Oryzias latipes: one gene and its partners. The main gene of each other region encodes a partner of the protein of the gene in region 2 in a complex. Links are inferred from orthologs where the notes say so. Each region holds a gene or a part of one and is shown on either strand. Other genes may lie near its edges.

What was found.
Region 1: the proteins of mcm2 (region 2) and dnajc9 are in contact, whole or in part, in a crystal structure (PDB 7CJ0), measured with the Homo sapiens proteins. The link is inferred for Oryzias latipes from reciprocal best matches to the Homo sapiens genes MCM2 and DNAJC9. Residues at the interface, in NP_004517.2 of Homo sapiens: Glu65, Glu66, Glu67, Asp68, Glu104; in NP_056005.1 of Homo sapiens: Lys185, Arg189, Arg192, Lys244.
Region 3: mcm2 (region 2) and gins4 share a complex: the UniProt entries of both Homo sapiens proteins name them as parts of the CMG helicase complex. The link is inferred for Oryzias latipes from reciprocal best matches to the Homo sapiens genes MCM2 and GINS4.

Annotation. Positions count from the first base shown.
Region 1 is NC_019873.2:17,922,312-17,926,074, reverse strand, and holds dnajc9 (dnaJ homolog subfamily C member 9), read right to left. Parts: upstream 2,503-3,763; 5' UTR 2,291-2,502; coding exon 2,117-2,290; intron 1,734-2,116; coding exon 1,593-1,733; intron 1,444-1,592; coding exon 1,189-1,443; intron 1,116-1,188; coding exon 1,029-1,115; intron 947-1,028; coding exon 836-946; 3' UTR 502-835; downstream 1-501. Other genes in the region: protein FAM149B1, read left to right, coding at 1-50.
Region 2 is NC_019863.2:6,784,010-6,788,276, forward strand, and holds the start of mcm2 (DNA replication licensing factor MCM2), read left to right. Parts: upstream 1-1,458; 5' UTR 1,459-1,572; coding exon 1,573-1,578; intron 1,579-3,256; coding exon 3,257-3,444; intron 3,445-3,526; coding exon 3,527-3,699; intron 3,700-3,852; coding exon 3,853-3,983; intron 3,984-4,069; coding exon 4,070-4,208; intron 4,209-4,267. UniProt on the Homo sapiens protein: Acts as a component of the MCM2-7 complex (MCM complex) which is the replicative helicase essential for 'once per cell cycle' DNA replication initiation and elongation in eukaryotic cells.
Region 3 is NC_019867.2:17,431,792-17,435,817, forward strand, and holds gins4 (DNA replication complex GINS protein SLD5), read right to left. Parts: upstream 2,817-4,026; 5' UTR 2,536-2,816; coding exon 2,437-2,535; intron 2,325-2,436; coding exon 2,238-2,324; intron 1,553-2,237; coding exon 1,439-1,552; intron 1,350-1,438; coding exon 1,252-1,349; intron 1,168-1,251; coding exon 1,079-1,167; intron 998-1,078; coding exon 907-997; intron 788-906; coding exon 691-787; 3' UTR 683-690; intron 443-682; 3' UTR 33-442; downstream 1-32. UniProt on the Homo sapiens protein: Required for correct functioning of the GINS complex, a complex that plays an essential role in the initiation of DNA replication, and progression of DNA replication forks.

The DNA of each region.
Region 1 (3,763 bases), on a different chromosome or scaffold from region 2:
CCCACAGCCGAGGAGGCATCTCATCCAGAGCCAGCAGACCCGGCCTCTGATCTGCCATCCGTCTGTCTTTCCACAGCACTCTAAGATGCTTTTCCTAAGACAAAAAAGAAAAACGTTTTCTTTTTTACTTAGCAATGATCGGCTCAACTTTTGTCTAGAGGCCTATATTTTTCAAAAATGAAGTGTGAATATAATCTTTCTTTGGTGAACATGTTAAACTATATGCATTCTCTGTACAGTCCTTCCAGCAGTATTTAACTATGCAGGGAATGGCTTCCCTCCAACAGCTATAAATTAAAAAACAAAAATAAAATGCAAACGCTTATTTGATGCTATATCTGAGGTTGGTATCCAGCCTCCCATCTGTGCAGAACAGCTCATAAACTTTCCCCGAAAAAAGAGGAATGTCCGATTTTCTTCAAATAGGGACGTAAAAGCTGCTGTCAATTCTGCTCAAATGCACCTACAATGTAGGAAGTGTAAATAATGCTTTGGAAATCATTTGCCTGTACAGTCTTTTATTGTACTTTTTTGGTAAACAAAACAAAAATCATCCAACTGGATCATGTAATGAGTTAGAAATTCAATTGAATCAGACAATCTATAGCTTCAAAAGGCAGTTTTCCACTTTGCATTGTCTTTTAATCTGATTTTTACAAAATAAAGGTTTATGCAATCTGCTGTAGAATGATCCATTTATTAGCAACATAACAAATACAAATTACATGAAATACAGGAAGCATTTACATTTTTTTATTTCACTTTAAACAAAAAAGGCCCAACGCTGACAAAAATCTTAATTTGGAAGTCCTTAAAAAAGGAACGAGGCTGACATTTATTTCTTTCCTTTTTTTCCCTTTTGGGGTTTTGAACTCTTTTTAGAATATTTTGCTTCCAGGTCTGACAGGAAACTATTAAAATTCTTCTCCCTGGACTGCTGTCTTTGCTGAAAAAAAGAAAAAAATAAGTTATACTGAGGGGAAAAAATAGTAGCAGCTCTAAGATTTACACATGCTAATGAAGCTCACCTTAAGCATCATGACGAGACTGTCATCTTTGTCACTGAGCCCCATCTTTTTTTGCATTTCTTCTGCTTCTTCTTTTTCTCTGTCAGCCTAAAAGATCATTACAATGAAAATGACAGAATCCAGTTAATGATTTCAAGCCGCCACAGGTTTAAAATCTCACCCTCTTCCGACGAGCCCTCTTCTTCTTGTCACTCTCTTGGGTAAACGAGGGGAAGGCTTCAACCTCTCCACTCTTGATGGCGGCTTCGATGATGCCGCACAGTCTGGGCTCATCTTCCTGCGAGCAGCACAGAGCTGACGCCATGATCTCATCCAAGTCCCCTTCGTGCTGCACGTAAAGCCGGATCACGTCATCCCGCTCCTCATCTGAGCCTTTGTATTTCTTTTCGAATTCTAGGATGTCCTGCACTGTCACCTACAAGACAAAATCAAGTCAAGATGGGGTGAAAATACCAGACTCCTGTAGTTGCATCGTGCATTTTTCTCATTTATATCTAACTTCATCCTGCAATAATAAGACAAGCTCTTGTTTATGTGGACATAAATGTCAAAGTGCTCCAGTACCTTAGGAAAGAGCAATCTCCAATAGTCTTCCCAGCAACGGTCCTGACGAAGGACATCTGATTCTTCATCAACTACTCCTTGCTCATCATAAACAGCCCTCTGCTCCCGATCTGTCAGCACTGTGTACAGTTTTCCCAACACCTGCAACAGATTACACGAAAACTATTTTAATGTGTTTTACTTTAAAGCAACATCTATCACAGAGATACCGTTATGCTAGGAACATTGTTAAATTACTGACATAACATTAGCATAAGTGATAATTACTGAGCAAACATAGTAACTGAAAAGAAATATGGAACATTTCTGTTAAATAATTTTAAGTAACAAAACGTGTCTAGAAACATTAGACCTCTAAATAGGTAAGAAAAGACTCGCGTTTGGTTTTGCGCTGCAAACTCTGTCAACATCTTCCATGTTTCAGCTTAGATGGTATGTTAGCTTCGTTAGCTAACATCGATACCTAGCTTATTTTTCTATTGTCGTTTGAAGGCTAACAAAGAAAAGAAAAAAAACGAGCTAACCTGGAATTTCTCCGTCGCCTGCGGGTCTTCGGGGGCTCTGTCGGGGTGCACTTTCAGCGACACTTTATAGTAGCTCCTCCTTATCTCCGCTTCGGATGCTTCTTTGCTTACTCCCAGCACTTCATACAAATTTGTGCTACTAAAGAGTTCCTGGCACCGCTCGAGCAAACCCATTGCGACCGTCTAGTTTAATGAAATACGAGTAAAATAAGTTAAAAGTGAACGACTGAGGACGTAAAGCGCAATGACAGTGTTGATATTAGATTAGGTTCGCGTATAGTTAAAGAAATCTGCCCTCCACGGTACTTTTCTCGATCATGTTAGTTTGGCGCCCTGGCCTGCCGCTTGCGCTTTACGTGACACTACGTTCTTGCGTCATCATCTAACGCACAATCCTATTGGCGAAGACGTTCGCACGTGCTACTGAACGGTGTTTTCAATTTCAATATCAATTTATTTGTTTTGTAGGATAAGCCCCTTGAAATGTGTCATCTCGTTTTCAAGGGGGCCCTCGACATACAACAAAACAACCAAATACCAACAGATTCAGCTCACCAAACTTTACATATTTTAACATTTTACCAATAAAAACGAATAAGATTTGAAGTAAGAGAGAACTAAAACAGGTTTCTCTTTTAAAACGTACTATATATCACACATCAGAACAAACAACAACAACAATAATAATAATAACAATTATTATTATTATTATTATTATTATTATTATTATTATTATTGTTGCTATGTTTATTTATTTTTGCGGTATCCTATATGCAAGTTTGTACATTTTATTTAGTTTTTTTCCCCCATTGCACTTTAACAGCAGTTTTGTTAAATTTATTGAAGATGCTACAATTTGTGTTTGAGTCTTATTACCACCAATGTTTCTATTAATGAGTTATATTTTTTCAGCTAAATGGTCAATCTGATGAGAAAAACTTTTACTTAGCATTTACTTTTGAACTGGGTTTGCAATATAGGGGTGGGTGATACTGGGAATTTGGTTATCAAACTGATACCAAGTTATTACAGGACTAGAATCGCCGATACCGCTAGGATTACCAATACTAATATTATACTTTCTTCTTAAAATTTTTGATTTTAGAATAATTTTGGAAAACCTCAATTTTTTGTTAAGTATAATAAAACACAGGACATAGACTTTCTGTGAAAGAAAAATGTTCATTAATTCAGCTTCTAAACCCGTTTTGTCTCCTTGTCACGGGCCTGACGGAGCCTATCCCTGCCACTTATGGGCAAAGGCAGGGGACATCCTGGACAGGTCTGTCGCAGGGCCACAAATCACACACCCATGGACACTCACATTCACATTCACACCTATAGGGGCAATTTAAAGTAACCAATTAACCTATGAAAGTGGGAGCAAGCCGGGCTCCCGGTAGAAAACCCATGCATGCACGGGAAGAACATGCAAACTCCACACAGAAATGTCCCCCATTGGTTTTCTGTTTCAGGTCCTCCAGCCAGGATGTGAAGCGGGGGCCTGCTTGCTGTGAGGGACAAGCACCACTGCACCACCATACAAATATGAACTAATTCCAATCTAAACAGAACATGAATCAAATATAGAACATGTATGTTAATAATAGCAAACAATATCAATACTTCACCTTGGTATCGACACTA
Region 2 (4,267 bases):
GCCGTTAAAACTGTCTGTGTTAGTGGAGTTAATAAAGTGTCAGTAGGTGGCGCTGTATCCTTGTACACTGGAAATTAAACTCTCATAGAATAAATCAGAAGAAGAAAACGTTCGTAGTCTTTTGCAGGATCGTGCTGTCCTGATCCTTAACAAATTTTTTTATTTCATTTTTTTTTGCCAGCATTGAATTCAACATTAAAGGGCCTATATCAAGCCTTTCAGAGTAAAATATATCCATATATGTAAGAGACAATGCCCGACAAAGTGTTCACAATCAAAAATTATCCGATTGCTTGATTAGTTGCTTTCGTAAAGTTGTGTAAGTGTCGTTGTATTCGGGCATGCGTGGACGGATACAGTAGCCAATTCAGATTAGATAGCTACAATAGGCATGTTTGAGATCACCCAGACCGACACAGCAGTGCGCAGATCGACTGGTGTGCAGTGCATGTTGGGTAGTTTTTGCTTTGACGTCACATGTCTGTCATCATAAAAACATTGCAAAAAATGGGCGGGTGCAAGGCACCAAGGCGATTGCAGTAGGGACTTTTTCCCTTGTCGCCCGCAGAATCCACAAAAACTAAATGTGTTGTGGGAAACGGTGTCCCGCCGGAACGCTCACCAACACTCAGCAAGGGACTCCTCTGCTGCATCCGGAGACTTTCAGATTCTGATAAACACCCTTAAGAAAGGAGTAAACAACAGTCACACAGGAATATTAGAAATAAACTTAAGTTGATTGAAAAAAAAATAAAAAAATATATCAACTTAAGTTGAAAGAAACATTTGTACTTCATCAAATGACCTTAAATAATAGATCCCGAATAAATCACCTTTTTTAAAAATACGTTTCATGGTTTCATTTGATGTATACTCATTAGTCAGATCTCTTTATTGTTACACAAATTCAAATGTGAATTTAGATGGATTTGTTTGTATGTGTCAGTCCTCCATTAAGTTGTTGCTTTTACATGTACAATATCACAAATCACAAGACATTTTGTCATTTTTCCGCAATAACCCCTACATTTTCGCTCATAAGTAATAAAGCCTATAAAGTCTAACAAGAATTCACGGTTAATCAGTGTATCACATAGTTACAGGTCTCATAAGGAATTGACTGGCAGTCATTTGATCACAGCTGTTAGTTTCCAGCCTCCCTGTGAACTTCCGGTTCTCGTTGTCTCCCTGCAGGCCGCAGCTCCTCATCTCAGACGCCTTTCCCGCCCCCGCCTGCATCTGCCTGGTCTCAGGCGTGACGCCTGACGGTCAAAAGGCCTCTACGTCATCAACACCGTCCAAACGAGAGGTCTGTTTGTTTTGAACACCATCAGGACCTCATGCGCACGCGCGGTCGCAACTGCTTTCAGTGAGTTCTGTTCTAAAACGAACGCATCCACGTTGTCTCCGAACCCCGCCCCTGTTCAAATGATCTACCAATGGGAAGCTGTCGATGTATTTCTTCGTACATATTCATGACTTTTCCCGGGCTTTTGGGTGTCACGTGATCCCTTTCGCGCGAAAAGTGACTCGTGTCCTGTAGCAGACAGAGGCAGCAGCAGCAGCAGCATCATGGCGGTGAGTAGAAACTCGTTCAGACTTTTACAGGTTTGGGTTCTGATTTTTCAGGAACTGAACCAGACCCACATTCAGACCCAGTCAACGCGCTGCTTTGGGGTTTTAACGGTTGTTCGCTCGTTCCGGAGCCGCCGTGACCACAATCATGGCGGAACCGAGTCGTCACGGATTTACTCTGCGAGTTCTGTTTGTTTGGTTAAAGAAAGAGGCAGAGAACATATTCAATGGATGTGTTTGCGGCTGCGCGTGTGTACTACTAGTTCTTATTCTCTAACTCATAAATGTACAGTTAGTGTGTAACTGTGTTCTTCTTGTATTCACTACATGTACAGTCGCACACCACAAACCTACGAACACAAAACACAGTTTACACACGCACAACGTGAAACTACAAGTACACACAGTTACACATAAAATGTATGAGAAGTACCACCATTAATGAAGAAGTCAGTCTATTTTCTCTCATAAGAGCACCGCGTGGCCACCGGTGGCATGCCGGGAAAATAAAATAAAAAATCGCTACATTAGGCCAATCGTGACGTCAGTCTACCGGTTCTTGAGCTGCAGAAAGATCCCGAAGCTGTGAGCAGCTTTTGTGAGCCTGCAGCTTCCGAACAAACATCAGGTTTAGCTTTGACCAGTGGCGGACTTAGCATTTTGGGGGCCCTGGGCGAACAATAACATGGGGCCTTTTGCAGCCATTTGTTTTTAAGTCCCCACCTGGGGTTAAACGTTCTTGATATAACTTCTTCACAGGCCCACTTTTGGAGAATATCAATGAAAAAAATGTAAATGTTTTGAGAAGCAGCAGTTTGAATCAAAATTAAATGGTAAAGACATTTTATTAACATTCTTTTTAAGTTAAAAAACTGAATTTATTTAATGCATTAATTGGTTCCTCACTCAGTAGGAAAAGAATCAAAATACTTAAATGATGAAGCAAAACGGTGATGTTAAAAAAAACCACAAATAAATGTTCTTAATATTGCAGTTTTCTGCTCTTCCCTTTTGCTTTTCTTCTCTTTCTGTTGCAGTAAAAGTGGCTTTATGAAGTTCTCCAATTATAACTGACTTATTTTTGAACTTGGAAAAAAATACAAGAGGTATTATTTGTATTTTGTCTTGAACAATTCAGAAAAAACAAAATATAAAGAATACATCAGGTCCTGAGTGCTTAAATTCAACACATAAAACATTAGGAACGCCTTTTTAAGCAATACAAAAATATTGACCAGAACAAAATGTAATCCATAATCCACATTGCTAAACCTTATTCCACCGTTTACTGTCACATGCGATCAGCCCTCCACGATAACGAACACCTCGTCAGGCTTGATCCCTAACCTCATAGATGTGGGCTTGTTTGCATTAGTTTAGCAAAGAACTACAAAGTCGCACATTGACGGCGTCACAGCCTCGCCGCGCCACTTATACAGACACGCACTGGAGGTGATGGGAGAAGCGTTTTCAGCTGACTTCAAATAAAACATTCAAGCAAGTAAACAGACCTTTTATGTCACGACAAAGACGATAAAAAAAAGGAATTTGCTACTCTGTAATAAAGTATTCATGGTTGACACGATCATTTGAGCTTTATCTTTAGCACCCCCCCCCCCCCCCCCCCCCTGTGTAATCAGATTTCTTCTACTGCAGACTTATCAAACAGTCTTCTCCTCAGGATTCCTCCGAGTCATTCCATGGAGTCACCAGCCCAAATCCAGGTCCCAGGAGAGGAGACCCAACATCCAGCCCGGGGCGAGACCTACCCCCTTTTGAGGATGAGTCTGAGGGGTTGCTGGGGGGCACACCCCTGCCAGGAGAGGAGGAGGATGAAGGGGAAGAGCTGATCGGTGATGGGATGGAGAGGTAAGAGTCCAGATTTGAACCCCTCCACAGATGTTTGTTCCTTCAGTATGAAGGGCTCTGAAGTCCTTCCTCTGCTCTCCAGGGATTATCGGGCCATCCCAGAGCTGGATCGGTACGAGGCAGAGGGCTTGGACCTGGATGATGAAGACCTGTCAGAACTGTCGCCTGGAGCCCGAGCTGCAGCTGAGGAGGAGATGAGGAGGAGAGACCGAGAGCAGGGAGTCAGTGGACGGCTGAGGAGAGGCCTGCTGTACGGTGAGGAGAACGTTTTCCTGTGTGGGGGCTCGGGTTCCTGTTTTGAAGCTGAAGGCGGGGATTTCTAACCAAAGTTGCAGTGAGGAGCCTGCTCATGAATGTCTCTCCATAGACGGCAGAAGTGTGTGACAGGAGGCTTCTGTTGGTTTTCAGACAGTGAAGATGAGGATGATGAGCGCCCCGCTGCTCGCCGTCGTCGGCTGGCCGAGCGTGCGGCCGAAGGCATCGTCGACGGGGAAGAAGAGGACATGATTGAGAGCATAGAGAACCTGGAGGACATGAAGGTTTGTCACACAAACTTGAAGGTGTTTTCTGACTCAACAGTGGAAGTCTGACCCCCCCCCCCCCCCCCCCCCCCCCCTCCTTGCAGGGCCACACCGTCAGGGAGTGGGTCTCCATGCCAGCCCCACGACTCGAAATCTACAACCGCTTCAAGAACTTCCTACGGACCCACGTGGATGAAAACGGCCACAATGTCTTCAAGGAAAAGATTAGTGACATGTGCAAAGGTAGCTCCGCCCCTCTGGGATCAAACCTATGGGTGATCAACTCCACAATGACCCTCCCC
Region 3 (4,026 bases), on a different chromosome or scaffold from region 2:
CAGTATGTGGAAGATGGAGTAAGATGCACACAAGCTATTAAACTTTGATTTATTTTTTTATAATGAAAATGCACAATAATGTCAAACAAAAGCTTTTAGGAAAAACATTTACATATACAAATATATACAATAAACCAATGAATAGTGCTGCATTAAAAAGCCATCTAATGAGTTATTTTTCTTTGCAGGGATGACAAATTGCTAATAAAACAAATTATAATATTATTCCACAGTTGGAAAAAAAAATAGAAAAATATACAATACAGCAAATCAACATAAATATGTTGAAAACATCAGTATTTGGGTCACATGTCTGTCATTTATTAAATTTAGAAAGAAAACGTTTTCCACCTGTATTTACAACAGTTCAAAAGAACAATATAAACGGGAAAAAAACAAAAAAAAACTTCCCAGGAGTGGAAACTCTCACTGGAGGACAATTCTGCAACACAAAAATCACTGTTAGTTCAATGACATTGCGAGTTTCTCTGTAAATATGTAAAATACAGAGTTTATAACACTTTAAACACTGATTTTTTTGCCAGGTAGTGTAAACATAAACAGATGATTTGAGCTTAGAATAAACATCACTGTCCAACAGCAGCTTATGTAAGACCAGCAGCTGTCAGTGTGAGAGTTGGAAGCCATCGAGAAAGACGAGTCAAGACTGAGACCATCTTACTTGAGTCTTCAGATCAGCTTCACGGCCCCATTTGAGATGAGCGGCGCGATGGTGCGATACCGCATCAAGTGCTGCGAGCCCTCTTCCAGATCCACAACATACTCTCTGGCAAGTGAGTCACAGAAAGTTACCACTTGGTTTGCATTCGGAAAAGAACTTCGCCACCTGCTGGTGGGATGGTAGAAATCATCTCATTATCTTGTAAATTAAAAGTTGTTTGGTACCTTTGATCATCTGTTTCAGGCTCAATCAAGATATTTTCTTGTTTCTCTTTGACTCGCAGAAACACAAACGAGTCTAAGCAGGGCTCCGGAACTGCAGTTGCACAAGAGAACATTTCATTTGTCACAAAAGTGATCGCAATACTAAACAATGAAAAAAACAAAGGCAAGATACCTGCTTTGAGCATGTCAATGCTCTGTAGGTTAGGTGGCATCCGCTTCAGCGCTACCGCTTTCAGGTACGCTTCTGTGTTGTCATAATACCTGAAAAAAATATCTGAACGTTTTCATCCATGCAAATTGTTTTGTTCAAAACGGTATAAAAATGTCTGTTGAACTCAAACGCACTCTTTGGCAAATGCAAACTCCTCGGGGGAAAGCAGGGATGGCTCCCCATCAGCTCGAGACTTTTCCCTCTCCAGGACATGAGGGAAAAACTTTTCAATCTAAACAGACAGCACACAGAAAGGAAGCTTTGTCTTTATATTTATAGAGCAAGATTGGAGCTTTACTGTACAACTTCCACCTGACTGACTTTCTGCAGCCGGGAGCGCAGGTAGCTGGTGAGGACAAAGCGGATCCGGTCCACTTCCATGCGATGTATGCTGGCCTTGGTGTCGCCTTTCTTCACTCGCTGCAAGTTGGACTCCTGTTGGCAGAGAAGTTGAGTAGCACTTTACTCACAACGATGGGAAAAGTACACATTTACTATAAAAGAAATGCACCAATGATACAATTAGTGGCATTTTTCTCATCATGAAGGACATCTATAAAGAAAGTTCAAATAAAAATTACTTTAGTCATCATCAATCATTTTGAATCAGGAGCAAACGATAAATGACAAAAGTACGTTACGTAAAAAAATAACGCTGGGCAGGTCACAAGCACCTGAGCTATCAGGAATGGAGAGGGGAAGGGGGGCGGGGTTGCTCTGCACCACAACTCAGAGGGGATTTTCTAATGAACTACTGCTGCTCTGCAGAAACTATGTTCTAAAAGGTTTTCGAATTTTGGATAAAAAAAAAGCACATGATTGTGATTAAAACGGTTTTACAATCGATCAAATCGATGGGATACAAAGTGACCCTTTAACAAGGAAGGCAATTATTTTGTTAATTACGTACTCTATGACCTGATTTAGAAACTGATTTGCAGTCATCTAAGAAACCTTAATAGCATTTACATTATTAGTAACAATCCACATAAACCTCATTTCAACAACTCCTGAGTTTCGAGAATGCTGTTAACTAACCAGTAAGTTGTGGCTTCAAGTGAATCTGTCAATCAAAACTGATGGTGATGAGCATCAAAAGTAGCAGACTGTTCGTGGTTACCATATGAGTGAGCTGCTCCATCACACATTCCACCACTTCGGATTTGTTCTCCTGCAGCTCGGGGGAGAACTTCTCATTCAGCCAAGCCTGTGACTCAACCAGAAGAGCGCAGCAGTGAAGCTGGGGCTAACACAGGATGGTTGCAATCATTGCTTTGAGACGCAAGAAAAGGTTTAAGGTCCTAATAGTTCGATCTCACCTCTTCCAGTTTGGCGATCAGCTCTGCTGGAGTCATAACGTCCTCCTGGCTGTCATCTTCTTGGTTGATCTCGCTGTCATCAAACGCGGCTTCCGACATCGTTTTGTTCTTTTAAAGGGACTAAATTACCTCATATGTTTTGCTACTTCGTATTCTAATTGGCTCATTTGAAGCCACTCAAAGATTCTATCGATTCAATAAAAAGTACTATTTTAAAACGCAACTGCAACCCCAGCGTCTGTGTACAAAGACAACTCTTTATGTATTCGCGCCAAATGTGGTGCTCTCGCGAGATTGAATTGTTCGTGGGTTTGTTCACCCTGAGTTTAGTATGCCAGGCATTCTCATCGTCTGTCATTGGCCAAATGCTTCGGAAAACTCTTAAAGCAAATAAATTATTAATAAATAAACAAAAAGAGAGAGAAAAAAGTTAGGAATAGTTCTTAAGGTTTTTCTTTTGCCACATCCGCAACCGCAGTTACCGGGATTATTCAACGTGATGGAAAAAAAAGAAGCCTGAAATAGTAAAAACTGGCAATTAAACCAACTCATCTTGACTTTTTGTTTAAATTGTGTTTTCGTAATTGTGTAAGCAGAACACGTTCATTGCAATTATGCAGACTAGAACATTTTATAGGCCCGTGCATTATCTACAGTGTAGCAGATCTTTACATTTTAAAGAATGGCCCAGATTGCACTCAGCTGATCCCTTGTTTCTCAATATTCATAAAGACTGTTTATAAAATTTGAATATCAGACAAGTTGGAATGATAGCAAAATAAATACATACAATAAAAATAATAATAGGCATAAATTTTTTTTAACTATAACCCAAAGAATTTAGAAACCCTGATGAAATGTAAGAGTCTCAACATTTCTGTATTTTTGATAGACTAATTCATTCATCCATTTTCTTAACCCGCTTTATCCCTTTCTGGGTTATTGGGTTGCTGGAGCGTGTCACCGTGAAGGGGGGGGAACACCCGAAACTTCAGGGGTTTGAGGGCCGGTGCGTTTGTATGATTTCGACGTATCCAAGCCCCTATCCAAGACCGATTACCTGGTTCAGGTGTGTTCAGCCAAATAGAACATGCCGGAGCAGGGTATGTTGGAAAACATGCAGGAATGCGGTCCCCGAGACTGAAGTTTGCCCATGTTTGAACCAAATGTACAACAAACAGCTATGATGAGCTGCTAAACATCCCTCTGCGGTCTAACTTCAGAGTTGGAACAGTGCAGTCAGGCAGATAAAGTTTAGATAAAAACTACCAAATCCTTCATCACACTATTTGGCAGTGTGATGGCTGCCTACGCTGCCACCCCATCAGGGCAGTAATCTCCTGCACCACATCACCATATCTGTTCACTTTATTTTTTGTGCATATACTTTTAGTTTTCTTTTTTCAAACATAACCCAAACACATGTTTGAACATAAAATTTATTAACATGTTTCAGTTTACTTTATGATAATTTGCTTCATTAATTTGATGTTTTGTTTTGAGTTACCAGTGCTGAGGGAACCATTGCTGCTGCTGCTGCTGCTGCTGCTGCTGCTGCTGCTGCTGCTGCTGCTGCTGCTGCTGCTGCTG